3 linked regions of the Drosophila melanogaster genome follow. The protein of the gene in region 2 interacts with the protein of the main gene of each other region in a pairwise test. Each region holds a gene or a part of one and is shown on either strand. Other genes may lie near its edges.

The links.
Region 1: the proteins of CG10139 (region 2) and Hug interact in a two-hybrid assay, tested with the Drosophila melanogaster proteins (one large-scale study listed by BioGRID).
Region 3: the proteins of CG10139 (region 2) and prc interact in a two-hybrid assay, tested with the Drosophila melanogaster proteins (one large-scale study listed by BioGRID).

What each region holds. Positions count from the first base shown.
Region 1 is NT_033777.3:12,524,554-12,529,635, reverse strand, and holds Hug (hugin), read right to left. Parts: upstream 3,449-5,082; 5' UTR 3,281-3,448; coding exon 3,197-3,280; intron 1,886-3,196; coding exon 1,606-1,885; intron 1,061-1,605; coding exon 849-1,060; 3' UTR 560-848; downstream 1-559. UniProt on the Drosophila melanogaster protein: Probably has a role in larval molting.
Region 2 is NT_033778.4:14,643,237-14,646,728, reverse strand, and holds CG10139 (uncharacterized protein), read right to left. Parts: upstream 1,460-3,492; 5' UTR 1,374-1,459; coding exon 1,173-1,373; intron 1,116-1,172; coding exon 642-1,115; 3' UTR 578-641; downstream 1-577.
Region 3 is NT_037436.4:11,960,116-11,967,942, forward strand, and holds the start of prc (pericardin), read right to left. Parts: upstream 6,017-7,827; 5' UTR 5,938-6,016; intron 5,127-5,937; 5' UTR 5,063-5,126; coding exon 4,991-5,062; intron 4,749-4,990; coding exon 4,690-4,748; intron 4,624-4,689; coding exon 4,520-4,623; intron 4,458-4,519; coding exon 4,293-4,457; intron 4,237-4,292; coding exon 934-4,236; intron 880-933; coding exon 339-879; intron 275-338; coding exon 149-274; intron 1-148. Other genes in the region: Muc68E (mucin 68E), read right to left, coding at 7,465-7,827.

The sequences.
Region 1 (5,082 bases), on a different chromosome or scaffold from region 2:
ACTCCTGATTACGATTACAGTTTTCAATGCACAGCATCGAATTATTTATTGCATTTATGGAAGTAAAATAAAGAGGTAGTTACTTTTGATAAAAGCCTCAGAACATGGATACTTTAAATTAAAGTTCTCCACTGAAAAAGCATTCATAAAATGTTTCCGTTTCCGCATTCATTGCAAGCCCCGCACAATTTTCTATGCTTCATCAGGCCAAATAAAGCCAGAAGCTTTTGACCGGACCACAATTGTGGCACTGGGTTTTTGAAAGGGCGCGGCAAGGGAACCAAGATATTTTATCAGTCAAAATGCACACACATGGGCCAACTGCAAACGGCAGTTGCCATGGTCAACACTCATGGGCGATTTTGTGGCAACGGATGTTGGCCGCATTTTTCCAATTTACGCGCCCTACCATTGGTTATGAAATTCTCATAAATTTAACTGGAAAATGGCAATATAGTGTATAGTGGACATAGAACCCTAGGAAGCGCAGGTCGTTAATGAAATTGCCATGTTTATTTAATTCCCGGCTCATTTGGAATGTAAAATCAACGCTACTTTTGGGGGCTACACAATTTATTTAAATAAATAATAAATATATGTACGGTATATACACATCATTAGTTCCTCTCAAATCAGGGTTATAGCGCTAGTAACTAGTAGAGTAGTCATTCACTATGCATATATGTGGATTATTTTTGCGTCGCGTCGAATTCAGCTGGCCATTATGGCTTGGTTATGTTAACTCAAGGGCCAGTCGCCTGGCCTCAACCTTGTCCTGGGCTCGTCCTCCGTCCTCCATCCGCAGTCCGATTCCGTGCCGTGCCATGTCCTCGCGCCCTTGTCGTGACTCAATCGCCACCGCACACTTGAGCACGTTTGCCCAGGCGTGGCTTGAACGGCACCGATTTCTTAACCATGCGCTGCATGAACTGCCCGCCGATGGCCTCCTCGCCGCCCGCCATTCCCGTCGCCCCCTCCGCGTCCAGTAGTCGCCAGGAGTCAATGCTGCGGCCAAGGCGTGGCGTCCGCACGCGATAAGCGGGCTCCCCATTACTCTGCACTGTCCAAATGGAAATAGGGAGAGTATTTCATAATATATGTATAAGCATTTTGATAAGGAAAAAATGAATGCGAAATTTTCAAACAATTTTGTTCAAATGTATCCAACATTCTTTGGATAAGTAATAGTTTCCATGATTGAATAACATAAATGAATGAATGGTTAACTCAATTTGAAAAACATTGAACATTGCCTAAGTCACTGTGAAGGAATTTTTCTAGTAAAAATTGCAGATTTCTCGGACTTTTGTACGGTATTGTCATTACGTATGGAGATTGTTCTTTTTTTTCTGAATATAAAATATTCATTTAAATATGCCAATGTCTTGTGAAGTAAAGAAACGACATGCATATTAAATGAAAATAACATTTTCATATTATGTTTTTCTCTCTGCAAAAAATGAGGAAAAGCTTATGTATAAAGTATGCGAACATTATGGAGATGGTTGCGTGAAATGGGAACGTGATTCGGAAACCAATTAGAGCGACTTGCCCTCTTCATACATATATCCTTCACATTTCAGCAGGTGTCCATAGGCAACTTACGCTGTCGTAGCTTTTGAAGGAGCAGGTAATAGGTCAGTGGCGGCATGGTGTCCAAATCGAATTCCTGGCCCTGCGGCGGCATGGCAGCCACCTGCATGGTGGCACTGGCCTTCTGGGCCAGGCTATTCTCCTCCAGCTCGTCAATGATGTCTGTCAGCTCTTTGTAGTCGCCCATGGCGCGCTTTTGACGTGCCTCGCTCAACGCTGGTGAAGCTGGTGATAATGATCCTCTGGCAGAGCCGGCGCTGATGTGATTTCCCAAATCCAGTTTGCTCGTGCCCTGCACAAATAAAAAATGCCATAAAAGCAGGGGCCAAAAAAGCAGGCGAAAAAAGGAGCTAAATATTTGAGATATTTCCTTGGAGGATGTTGTTTTTTTTTACTGAGGGTTCCCACGCTGCCAAACTGTCGACACGTGTTAAGTTATTTTTATGCCGCCTATTTATGCTCATACTCGTACGTGAGCTGCACACACGCATAAAGGTCCTTCCAACCGACTTGCGGGTGTGCCTGTATGTGTGCGTGTGGGTGTCTATGGATGTGAGTGTGAATGTGCGAGTCAAGCACTTTATTGTTTCAATTTACACCCAGGCATGGAAGGCAGATCAGCGTGTGCCGCTTGATTAGACAACTCAATGTAGATTGAAATGCCAACACCTGAAATCGGCTTGTAAATCGCAATTCGCCAATAAACGCTCACTCTAAGCGGATGTCTGCGTGGGCGTATACTTGATATTAAACCTTCATTTGGCTCAGCATTTTCGAATACACTCAGCACAGTCGATATATTTTGCAATATTCTAAGCTGATATGAAAAAGAGCAATGTTGTAGCTGTCGTGAATTTATTGGTTATTTCTTTAGTTTCTTTTAGTTTCCCCGTTTAAATAAAAATATTATGAAACATATTCGTATAATATTCCCTGACAATAAACGAAAAAGAATAAGTTTGTAATTAAATAATTAATAATAGTTACAGTTTGAATTGTAATAACACTAAGCATTTTGTAATGTCCAGAATTTAATACAAAACACTTGCGGATTCGATATCAAACGATATAATTTACCTAAAACCAAATACAACACCACAAATTCCCAACCCAATGAACTATGCATAAACTTGATATAATTATGTCTTTTTGATTAATTAAGGCCTACTAGGTTTTATTACATCTGCACTGCCAAGCATGGAAAGTTATTTTAATTAGTGGTGCGAGAATAAGTTGCGCAACACGTATACGCAGTGTTGCTGCGATTGCAACCGAAATGTTAATTGGATGCCAATTGATTGCCTGCTGGCAGAAAAAAAAAATAGTTGCAGTATCTGCAAACTAATTGGTAGCACTTCAAATGCAGTTGACAGACGGGAAACGAGTGCGCCACATAATGCTGTAAGGCACACGTCAAAGTGAAAACTTTTCGCCCCAAAATTTCCGTTCCAAAAATCCAAGAATTTCAGCACTGGTTGAAAATTATCACGCTAAGCTGGCGAACTTGTGCCTGGGCAAATAACACTAATTAAGTGGCGCTTGTTTGGCCAACAAGCCACAGTACCAACACCACCACATTTTTCCCACTTTGCCCGAGACTCACCTGCAAGGACTTCGCATGACTGCAAACAAGGATGTAGCAGGAAGCCGCGATTAGCAGCAGTGTGCAATAACTAGGACCACACATAACTGGGCCAACTGTGTTCGCTGCTAGGTGTTTTCTGGCGTTTACGAGCGACTGACCTCCCAGGACAGGACAGGACACTCCGGAAGCGCTGGAACTATTAACTTAATAGTCGGACGATCGAATGGAACCGCGTTGCGCTTTGGGACTGCTTTGCGGGACAACTGATGCCAGCAGCGCGGCAGATAGCAAGTTATATAGCCAAATGCTAGCGGCCCCATGCGAGCCTGATTAGGTCCCTGATGGACGGGTGCTAAGTGATTTGTTATGCACTCTAATACCGGCCAAAAGGCAGCCCGCTGGTCAGCGTAAACAAGCGAATCAAGCGGCAAATCCCAAACGGAAGCGCCACCAATTTGTCGCCCACAGAGCAAGTGAAAAATAGGATTCAATGAGTGACTGGCATTCAAATTGGGAAGCTAATTGTAAAGTCTGCAGTGGGAAAAATTACAACAAAATCAAAAAATACATTTTAATACGAATTTTATATGGGCTTTACCTCAATTTCCGGGTTATCACTTTAGTCTGATGATATTTAAACTGACTGTTGCAGGTATTCGTTGATAAGCCACGAAATATTTTATTATAGCGGCTTAATAAACGAGCTAAATGCTTGCTTACTGATAAACCCACAGATGCAGATTTAAATATAAGTTGATAGGTTGTCAAAAGTATGACATAAATAAATTAAACCAAACCCTTTTATTATGACGTATATAAAAAGCTTCTGAATAATCATATAATTCATAATAATAATGGATATGGATTAAATGCCCTCTTAGCAATGGGACACAGGTATTCTCAAATTATTTTCTTTTAAGTGTATCCAGCGTAATCGTGGGGCATCCTGTTTAATGGAAATCTGAGCGCGTGTAAAGTCCATCACGCCCCTGATGGCGATGGCGATGGCATTAGGCCCAACACCCACCACAATGGGGGCAATGTCAATGCCGTTGACGCTGCCAATCGATCAATCTTATTTAAATGTTGACAGTTGTCTTCGCATTGTATCCTGTAGCTTGGGGCCTGTTTTTGCCTGTTTTGCCAGTTCTGCGGATGGGAAAAGGCTTGGGGGAACTCCACAGCTTCGCAGCTGGCTTATTTAAATGCCATCCGTGAGCCGCATTAGGTTCAATTTGCTGGGCAAACACATCTTGCACACCTGCGCTGGCAAGAAGCTTCTCCTTTGACTGACTGAGCTGTCAGCAGGCATTTAAAATCAGATTGTGAGCACTGCGATTGTCGGCTGCCAAGCGAGAATGGGTCAAGAAGGCTGGCAAATCAAATTTCTCATACGCCCCGGAAGACATAAGCTGCGCACACGTGGTCGGGCTTCAATAACAGTTGGCTGCAAATCACGAGAATTTTCAATTATCTAAACTTGGTCCCTGGTCAGACATCAACCATCCATCAATCGAGTGTTTTTCTGGATGCTGTCGTGATGGTCATTCGTGCAGCTGTTGCAGCTACTGGTCGAGTGTTTATTTGTGCCACTAATTTACACAAACATGACCCGGACACGACCCACACACAAACTCGACCTGGTGACCCCCAGCTGGCATTTATTTATTTACTAACTCTACGTACGTGGGACGACCTCTTTTCCAGCCAAGGCCCTGAAGGATTTATCTATTTGCCAACTGCTGAAAATGTATCCTTGACGGACGAAAAAAGAAAAAAAAAAAAATGGAACGAACAATGCCATAAAGTTGCGAAAAATGTAATTTGACAAACCCGTATCTGAGGGATTACCTTGCACTGTAGTTCTTCTCTTTCAATCTATCAACAGATTATATGTGTGAACT
Region 2 (3,492 bases):
TTTAAATTACTTTCTAGTAAAACTTTGATCCGCAACAAAAAAAAAATGGGCTAAAAGCAGAATGCCAGCGAGATTAATGCTTAAAGCGTAAAGGGTAAAATGCTGAATTGTTAAATAACTAATGCATGGCCAATGAACTTGCCGAGCAAAAGTTTTAGCAATTTATCTGCGTGCCCCCTTTTGCGCCTGCTTTAGTTTCCTTCAAAATATTTTATGTTAAATACATGATATGAATTTCGAAAAAAATCCATGTTCTATGGTGCAACATTTTTTTGAAAATTATAATTAATAATCTCAAAATAATTTACTACATTTTTTGTATAGAACTTTTTAAAAACGAAAAGTTCTGAAATAAATTTTTATTCAAAATGAAGAACCATTTATACATAGTGCAGTTGGTTCTCTTTAAAAATATTTACTAATAATACAAAATTAAGGTGTTTCAAAGTAATAATAAAAATGTATCCAAAATTTACTAAATAATAAAATGATTTTTTTTTACAAATTTACAATTTTTTTTCCTTACAAATTTCGAATAGAAGTAAGCCTCCCAGGTTAGCAAAAATGTTGCATATTTAATTAATCATAATTGTACAGTTCATGTTTTATTCAAACTATAGTCAATACTAAAAACTAATATTTTAATTATAAGTGGGAGCCCGATCGATGGACGCTGCCTCCAATATCACCTTCATTATCTTGTCCTTGGCAAACTCGGAGGCGTCGGTGTTCAACTGTCGTAGCCGGTCGGCCACAAAGTCTCCGAAGATCTGGGAGCTGTCCTTCTGGGTGCGCAGAGCATTGGCCACTGCCTTGTTGACCATTTCCTCGTCCATAATGCTGATGGTGGACATCTCGCCCTCGCCTTCAACGTCGTCCTCTAGCCTTTGCTCGCCGCCGCCGGTCAGGGAGCACGATGAGAACATGACCTGCTCTGGTTCGTAAAGTGCCAGGTTCTCAATGATTTCCTCGTAGTCGACGGACTGATCCGATGCACTGATTTTTTCCTTTTTTACCGGGGAAGTTTTTGGCTGCGACTTCACCTTGACCTTGTAGGGAGTGGTGCTGGAGCTGCTGGCGGATGACCTGTTTAAGGGGCTGTCGTCTGTGGTTTTCTGGAAAGGTGATAGATCCAAATTAGGCGGGATTGATGACAAACTGTGCACACTTACGATTTGCTGTTTAAGGTTTAAGTGCTTCATATGCTTCTTGGTCGACGCATGTGCACGCAGATCGCTTATTTTGGTGTTTACGCAGCATTTGCAGAAGCGGCAGTGCGCCCGGTAGGAGTCGTCCGGATCACGCCGCAGCCACGCACGAAACTCCTCCATTTGCAGCCACACATCGCGCAGTTTCTGCTTGTAAATTTTCATAATTCGACAAAAAAGCGCAATGGAAATTAATTAAAACACGACGTACAGCAACAATGTCAATGCAATAGTGATGACAATAACAATGAGAGTAGTGACGCCTGCCGCCAGTGTTGCCAGTTTGCTGGCAGCAAAAAAGCTGTTTCTAGCTGTACAGAAAAAAAGCTGTCTTACGCAGGGCGAAGAAAGCTTTAAAAAAGCTAAAACGCCACAGTGCGCCTGTGTGCTTTTCGTGACGCTTATAGATAGCCAGGTTCAATAATAGCATGAGTACGATATTTATTTACAATTTTATTATATACAATATAATAATTATTAATTGCATTATTAATTTGATATATATATTGGTACATTTTTTGTTTTGTTTTATTTCACTAATATATTAGGAATATTTTTAGTGAACAGGCGAATATTAAATTTATCTAATGGCTCGAATTTAGCTAGATATTACCAATAAATTAGCTGATCTGGCCACATTGTCATCTCTAGATGAATTCTTGCTATCGTGTGCAGCTACTTACTGATCATGACCTATCGATAGCACAGTAATCAGCTTATCGATAAGCCGCGATCAAATGTTTTTTTGAATAATTTAATTCAAGTAGTAGTATAGTTAAAAAATCAAAATAATCGAATAATCTTTATAATCTTAATTTTATACAAAAATTTAAGAATACGGGACACCGGTTTTTTGAACCATTTTTTTTTCATTTTGCATTCTTTCAATTCCTACCAAATATTGTGTGCCTTTTTTTTATTTTATTAGGGAGAATTCACCCGCCATGCGATGTCCTTTGTAGTAGGGCTTCCGGGCATTGGCAAAGGACTCTCGAGCTGGCAGACAAACAAAACTGAACCGCAGACAACCCACTCAATTGGAGTTGGCTCCTTTAAAAGTTCATTCGTTTGTAAATAATTTTTAGCCGGCGGCAAAATCGATACTTCGCTTAAGATTTTTGCATATATAGCGACCATCGCATAGCTCTGAAAATTTTGTCAAGCTGCGCAAAACTTTCAACGGCAGCCGACGAGCAAAGTTATATGAGCAGCGTATGCCGATAATGCATAAGAGAAAAGTTGGGGGGAAAAGGCGGAGAAATGGGAGAAGAAGAAGGAGAAATGAAAGCATAAGCCGAATGGGGAAGTTTTACTATTAAAGTTTTTCATCAGCGCCTATTTGTCGAGCTCTCGAAACTTGGCCCTAAACCCCTTTTTTGGTGCTGGGGCGAAGGGCAAATATTTGTCAGGCAATTAAATGTTTACTGTTTTTATTATATGCTCTTGTTTGCCCTACCCTTCTCCCCAATTTTATTGTGACAAAGGAGCGGAATGAATGAAAGGGTTTTTGTCGGCTATTCCGGCTAAAATTAATCACACGCCCCGTTGCCGCAGTGCAAACAATCCAGCAAAGGTAAAAGCGTACAGACTAACCGCAGTACAGCTTAGTGTGCACCTTGCATTCAGGATGTTGAAAATATTAGCTTCGAAGGTTTGGGATTGTAATAAACCTACAAGAGATGAAAACGTGAGTCACCAGCAGAGACATTTAACTGGTGCCCTTCGTCACTAAGTGGACTGCCGTCCACAATGAAGTCGCGAGACAAACAAATAGATAAAAACCATCCGCAGATCATTTCAGACCAACTTCTCACCTACCTAACCATAATTATTTCGTATCAATTAATAAACCACAACCATCGTCATCCACTCAATGGTAATGGGATTTGCTGGTCAGCATTTGAAGCGATTCATTGAAGCGGATCAGCCACTCGTTCCGGCTCAAGCACCACCCAGTCTCGATTTTCCGGCATTTGCATACAAATTAATTAACAACACTCGTTCGGGGCCATAGTAAATTAATAATTTAGCCAGACATTACGCATATACGACGCATCGGCTGAGTGGCAGTAAAAAGCTGTCCAAAAACGCGTCGGAGATGGGCCAAGAGTCATTTTAATTACCACATAACAGGGCAGCGGGCCACAAATGGCAACTGGGAAATGCGAAATGCGAAATGCCGGGGCTTTTGGAATGGGTGAGCGGAAAATGGGAAATGGAGAAGGGAAAGCATGTCACGCTAAATGGGAAATGTTGCGAATACGACCTGAGGGCACAAGTGCCT
Region 3 (7,827 bases), on a different chromosome or scaffold from region 2:
AAATTGATTGAGCTAAAGTGTGTGACTTTTCGAAATCAATTTTGAACATATTTTGCCAATTTAAAAACCACAGAAGCATACGTTATCCCTTTTTTTAAATAGCCCAAAACATGTTTTTCTTTCTTTCTTCACTTTTCCGATTACTTACGCATTTGCGTTGTTGCCAAACTGACTGATGGTATTGAAGAGTTCCCTGTTTGCTTCCCTGTAAGTAGCAACCTGCTCTTTGGTTCCCGACGCGGATTGTGCAGCACCATGGTAAGAAACACCAAAGCTGAAATACAAAACCAATAATGAGTGGCTAAAGTCAATAATCAATAATCCTATAGCAATGTTACCTCGATGTTCCGTGAATCTGCGAGCTACTCTGACTGGAATGAGTGCCAGATGAGGACGATGCCTGGCCGCCACCATTAGCTGCTATAGGATTGGCCTCCTGGCCGGGTCGGAAACCGATCTGGGCCTGGGAGGAGGTTTGTCCGGGTCCGCTCGATTGGGCGTCCGCCAGGCCGCCCTTGTCATTGGCGTGAACCTCGCTCTGGCTCTGTTGGATGATGCCACCGCTCTGCGACGAGGCCTTGGTGCCGCCGTCCTTGGCAACCTGTACCTGGGCCTGCGACTGGGCAGGACCTCCCGATCCCTGAGACTGACTCACGGCTCCATCAGCATTTCCGGTAACCTGTGCACTGGCCGCACGATCAGCATCGGACGTCATTGCACTGGCGCTAAAGGTTCCGCCGGAGCTGTAAGTTCCCGACACCTGAGTCTTGGCCGTGCCTCCATTCTTCTTGCCCTGAGCACTTGCCGACGCTTGTCCGTCGCCAATTGATGACTCGGCTTGGGAGAAGGCATCGTCAGCTCCGCTGGTACCGGCAGCAACTGGGAAACGAGCAATTCAAAACATTGTTTTCCACCGCCTTGATAGCTACTTACCAACTCCACCGGTGCCAACAGCACCAGGTACAGTTTGACTTCCATCTGTATATCGACCTGGTGCCCCAATTTGTCCTGTCTGGGTTCCGTATCCTGGTTGTCCTACTCTGTCTCCGATCTGTCCGGGCTGCCCTCCAATGACTCCAGTTTGGCCGCCACCTCCTGGCTGTGTTCCATAAACTGGCGCTCCACCGATTCCGGGTTGGCTACCGTATCCACCGTGCCCACCAACTGTCTGTCCGCCAATTCCGGGTTGAGATCCGGGTCCGTATCCGGGTTGGCCAGCTGTGGCCTGACCACCTGTTCCAGGTAAGCTTCCGTATCCGGGTTGCCCGGCTCCGGTTTGTCCAGGTTGAGTTCCGTACCCGGGTTGGCCACCGCTAATTCCTGATTGACCTCCAGTTCCTTGCTGTGTTCCATACACAGGTGATCCACCAATTCCAGGTTGACCACCGTATCCGGGCTTTCCAGCGGCGGTCTGTCCGCCTATTCCAGGTTGTCCTCCAAATCCAGGTATGACACCGTATCCGGGTTGTCCAGCTCCAGTCTGTCCGCCAACTCCAGGTTGGCTTCCATATCCGGGCTGTCCGGCTCCAGTCTGTCCGCCAACTCCAGGTTGGTTTCCGTATCCGAGTTGTCCTCCAAAACCTGGTTGGGCACCGTATCCGGGTTGTCCGGCTCCGGTCTGTCCGCCAATTCCAGGTTGGCTTCCATATCCGGGCTGTCCGGCACCAGTCTGTCCGCCAACTCCAGGTTGGTTTCCGTATCCGGGTTGTCCTCCAAAACCTGGTTGGGCACCGTATCCGGGTTGTCCGGCTCCAGTCTGTCCGCCAATTCCAGGTTGGCTTCCATATCCGGGCTGTCCGGCTCCGATCTGTCCGCCAACTCCGGTTTGGCTTCCATATCCGGGCTGTCCGGCTGCAGTCTGTCCGCCAATTCCTGGTTGGGTTCCGTAACCGGGTTGCCTTCCACTAGTTCCTGTTTGCCCTCCAATACCAGGCTGACCTATAAATCCATATCCAGGTTGGCCGGCTCCAGTCTGTCCGCCAATTCCAGGTTGACCACCGAATCCGGGTTGGTTGGTTCCGGTCTGTCCACCAATTCCAGGCTGAGTTTCGTATCCATAATGTCCGCCAGGAACAGCGGTTAGTGCTCCAATTCCTGGCTGAGTGCCATACCCAGGGAGTCCGCTTATTGTAGCCTGTCCTCCGTATCCTGGTTGTCCGCCTCCGGTCTGTCCGCTAATTCCAGGCTGCCCGCCGTATCCTGACTGTCCGGTTCCGGTCTGATCACCAATTCCAGGTTGACTGCCGTATCTGGATGGTCCGCCAATTCCAGGTTGAGCCCAATATCCAGGTTTTGCGGCTTCTGATTGTCCGCCACCGAGTTTCCCTCCAATCGGTCCGCTTATACCCCCAATACCTGGCTGAGTTAAAAATCCAGGCGATCCACCGACTCCAGTTTGACCTCCATATCCAGGTTGTCCGGCTCCAGTCTGTCCACCAATAACAGGTTGGGTACCGTATCCGGGTTGTCCGGCTCCATTCTGAGCTCCAACTCCAGGTTGGCTTCCATAGCTGGGCTGTCCAGCTCCAGTCTGTCCGCCAATTTGGCTTCCGTATCCGGGTTGTCCGCCACCGGTCTGTCCGCCAATACCAGGCTGGCTGCCGTATCCGGGCTGTCCGGCTCCAGTCTGTCCACCAATACCAGGTTGGGTTCCATATCCGGGCTGTCCGGCTCCAGTCTGTCCGCCAACTCCAGGTTGGGCACCGTATCCGGGTTGTCCGGTTCCGGTCTGAGCTCCAACTCCAGGTTGGGTTCCATATCCGGGTTGGCTTCCGTATCCGGGCTGTCCGGCTCCAGTCTGAGTGCCAACTCCAGGTTGGGCACCGTATCCGGGTTGTCCGGTTCCGGTCTGAGCTCCAACTCCAGGTTGGGTTCCATATCCGGGCTGTCCGGCTCCAGTCTGTCCGCCAATACCAGGTTGGCTTCCGTATCCGGGCTGTCCGGCTCCAGTCTGAGTGCCAACTCCAGGTTGGGCACCGTATCCGGGTTGTCCGGTTCCGGTCTGAGCTCCAACTCCAGGTTGGGTTCCATATCCGGGCTGTCCGGCTCCAGTCTGTCCGCCAATACCAGGCTGGCTGCCGTATCCGGGCTGTCCGGCTCCAGTCTGAGCGCCAACTCCAGGTTGGGCACCGTATCCGGGTTGTCCGGCTCCGGTCTGAGCTCCAACCCCAGGTTGGCTTCCATATCCGGGCTGTCCGGCTCCAGTCTGTCCGCCAATACCAGGTTGGCTTCCGTATCCGGGCTGTCCGGCTCCAGTCTGAGCGCCAACACCAGGTTGGGCACCGTATCCGGGTTGTCCGGCTCCGGTCTGAGCTCCAACCCCAGGTTGGCTTCCATATCCGGGCTGTCTGGCTCCAGTTTGTCCGCCAATACCAGGTTGGCTTCCGTATCCGGGCTGTCCGGCTCCAGTCTGTCCGCCAATACCAGGTTGGCTTCCGTATCCGGGCTGTCCGGCTCCAGTCTGAGCGCCAACACCAGGTTGGGCACCGTATCCGGGTTGTCCGGCTCCGGTCTGAGCTCCAACTCCAGGTTGGGTTCCATATCCGGGCTGTCCGGCTCCAGTCTGTCCGCCAATACCAGGCTGGCTGCCGTATCCGGGCTGTCCGGCTCCAGTCTGAGTGCCAACTCCAGGTTGGGCACCGTATCCGGGTTGTCCGGTTCCGGTCTGAGCTCCAACTCCAGGTTGGGTTCCATATCCGGGCTGTCCGGCTCCAGTCTGTCCGCCAATACCAGGCTGGCTGCCGTATCCGGGCTGTCCGGCTCCAGTCTGTCCAAGAATACCTGGTTGGGCACCGTATCCGGGTTGTCCGATTCCGGTCTGAGCTCCAACTCCAGGTTGGGTTACATATCCGGGCTGTCTGGCTCCAGTCTGTCCGCCAATACCAGGTTGGCTTCCGTATCCGGGCTGTCCGGCTCCAGTCTGAGTGCCAACTCCAGGTTGAGCACCGTATCCGGGTTGTCCGGTTCCGGTCTGAGCTCCAACCACAGGTTGGCTTCCATATCCGGGCTGTCCGGCTCCAGTCTGTCCGCCAATACCAGGTTGGCTTCCGTATCCGGGCTGTCCGGCTCCAGTCTGTCCGCCAATACCAGGTTGGCTTCCGTATCCGGGCTGTCCGACTCCAGGTTGAGTGCCAACTCCAGGTTGGTCACCGTATCCGGGTTGTCCGGCACCGGCCTGAGCGCCAACTCCAAGTTGGCTTCCGTATCCGGCTTGTCCAGCTCCGGTTTGTCCGCCAACTTCAGGGAGAGCAACATATATCAAACTGTATACATTTTGATTATATACGACTTACCACCTCCGGGTAAGCTTATAATGGAATCGGGTCTACCGATGCCTCCGGATCCACTAGCATCAAGAATTCTGCCTGAAGAAGGGTAATCCGTTTGGTAGCCAGAACATCCATTGCAGTCCCCTGATGAGAACTGGCTCTGAGCCTGACCCATTCCATGGGTGCCAGCTGAAAGAGGTCAAGAGGTCAATGGACAAAGTGCTAATGAATCTCATCTGACCCGTACTCACACACAGTGGAGCGAGATCCATTTTCGGTAGCCTCTGCCTCAGCCTTTCCATCCTCCTCAGGCTTACCGAAATTTAAGTACTGAGACTGGGTTTGTCCCCTCGAACTGCGGATAAACATGGAAAGGAAGTAAGCCCATCTGGTCCAAAATAGTTGTTAACCAACTACTTACTAGCCTCTGCCGCTTCTCTTTTCCCGCTGCAAGTCGTTCAGACTAGAAACCTCATTTTCCTGAAAGTTAATACATCGATTTAAATTCAATGCTAATGTCAGTCTAATCTTTATTCATTCAAAGGGTCTGTGCAAGTGTGCCCGATTAGATGCTGCTTGTAAGAAACTGACCTTGGTCAAATTATGTCTTATCGCCTACTTTTCGAACCGAGTTCATTTACATTACACTACTCTAGTTCCATTCAACACACACAGAGAAGCAACAATTCTCGGGGAGATTCATTAACAATTCGGAAACTTACGATGGCAGCTCCATTTGCGCTTGCCACGAATAGCACGGCGCCAAGTAGCAGGCCCAAGCGAAAGGGCAACATTTCAATAAATTAAACCCTGAATCCAATTGAAAGGCGTCGACGTCGCGGCAACACAACCAGCAAACTGTAAGATGAAATTGAATTGTATTATCAATACACCATATAGATGCGTGTTATTATTAGTTTATACTCCTTCTCTGTGTTTCTTGTCCGTCACTTTCAGAGGTTATCACTTTTCTTTAAAATGAGCACGCACGCTGTGCTATTAGATGCCAAAAAAAAGGCAATCGATCTTGAGTTATATTTCAGTCTTGCGAGTGATGTAATCGCTAAGGCTGATTAATGTAAGTTTCGAATTTTAGTTCTTGACACAAACGTGTTTGAATTTGTAGTCTGAAATCATACATATGTACATATCCTTTTTGATATCTTTCGCTTTTCACATCTTTATTTTGATTTTTATATGTAAAAAATACAAGAAAGTCACATAAGCACTTTACACTTCGAAAGGATAATTGTGTGATTATCCTGGCGAATATGAATTGTTACAGAATGTACATATTTATATTTGAATATAGAAATATTTAATAAATTTGGGAAGAAAATTTAATCTTCACATAATTGTGTTTAGATGTTGTCAATGATTCGATTAGTACAAGATTCTTAGTTTGCACACATTATAATTTACACACTTATTGTTCTTTTTGACCATTTACTAATGATATAAGGTCCTGTATTTTGGTTGATTTCAATTTCACTGCATATAGAAATTCACATTTAAATTTTATCAAATAAAACTCTACAAGTTGTAATCCGTTTCGTAATGCACAATTAATAGGATGTTTTGTTATCTTATTTCTTCACTAATCCCTTGTATTTGAGAGCTGTTTTTGCTCTATGTCCTTGCTGCGAGGGCACACATCCTAGGCACATACTTTTTCGGCTGCGTGTTCTAGGAATCCAATGGAGATTTTCCGATTTGCTTCCGATCGCGACAACTGCTGGATTGCGAATAACGCTGCCCTGTACGAGCATCAAAACTCTAGAGCTTGAGCAGAACTCAAATTCATTGAAGGCGAGCAATTTCCAATACATTTGCATTTGGCCAGCATGAATATTTATGTAGGATCCACACCAGCGCAGAGTGCTGGTATCTGTGAGGCGGATCAGGGCACTTGGAGCCCGAGCTGGGAGCTCGTCGCCAGTGCTATTCATTCGAGTGTCTATTCCATTACGTATCAGCGCTTTGATCGTGTCAATCGATCACTTGGTCTGGCTTGGCCTGCCGATGGAAGGGGCGGCGCGTTGACGTCCCCCTCGACAAATGAGTTTCTATGGGCATTACAACATCGTAGTCTATGCCAACGGATGGGGGACTCTTTTGACCCATTTTAGGGAAATGTACTGGCATTTATTAGCATATAAAGATACGCAATTGTGTATCTCTTGGATACATTTCAAGTGTGTCCCTGCCCACACTCATTCACTTGACTTGTATGTGCTCTCTTTGCATCTGGCGAAGGCTTTATCGATTGGGCTTTGGATTTCCCAAGCCACTTATTTATTTCTACAAATCAAAAATTGGCGGAAGTAATTTAATCAGATAACCTTTGAGACTAACTATTTGCTTTCGCTTTCTGTTTAGACTACCCATCGTCATATCTATATATAGAGCAGTCTCTACCAGCCCCCATTCAATGTTGAATTCGGCTTTATACCCTTATCTGCTAAGAGCTTCTATGAAACCATGTGTTAAATTGAACTGAAGCATTAAATTTTCAATTTTTGAATACCCATCGTCTGTATGGGGTGTGTTTCAAGGCTAGTAATATTTTTAATTGAAACCTAGATTGATAAGATCTACGAAAAAGGCCTAGGAACTGTGGAAAGCAAATAATCCGGCTACAGTGTACCCATTACTTATTTTACTAGATACAATTGCACTTAAAAATATCTTTAACCTTGTTTTCCAATTTTAATGGGAATAAAGTGCTATGAAATTTTTATTACATCGTAATAAGAATTTATATTGAGACCAATTTTTTGTAACACCTTGAGATGAATTTGAGACTACCTTTTGTTTCTATAACAATAGGGTAGTTCATTACCAAAGTGTCTCAGTCTATTGAAATAAATTTGCATGCATCCAAAAATATCTATTTAGATCATCTAAAAAAAAAACCCCAGTGAAATAAAAATGCGATTGAATGTGTTTTTTTTTTTTTATATACAACAATAGGAATTTAACATTCAGTTTCTGTTTCATTATATTAATAATTTTGCTAACTTTAATTAATCGATTTGTAATTTCCACAGTATAAATAAATTTTTAATAATTCGCAATCTTTTTATTCATTTCTTAGGTAAATATTGTCCAATGAATAATGCCGTTGCACTGCTCCTGAAAAAAAGTGTCCGCATGTTATTTATTAAAATTTTGTCTACTTTAATTGGACTTACTCTTATGTGCAGAATCGCCGGGACTTTTCGCAAACTTGACTAACGGGATTCCAGTAAAGTCCTGAATTACAGCTCATTACAACACCTCTCAGGCCAAAACACTTGACATATTTGGAGCAATCGCTTTGAAAAACGTTAAAATTCATGCCCGCTGCGCAAGAAATCGATTGACTCGCCCGAAGATTTGTGCAATATTTATTGGACCAATCACATGACTTTATCTCCGGGTTCCAATACAGCGGATCTGGACACTTGCGCTCCAATGCCACGCCATTACTACACTGCAAATACATGGTGCAGTCCGTTGGATGTGCAAGGAAATCCACTCCAGGTCCGCAAACCTTCTCCTCTGGATTGGAATTTTC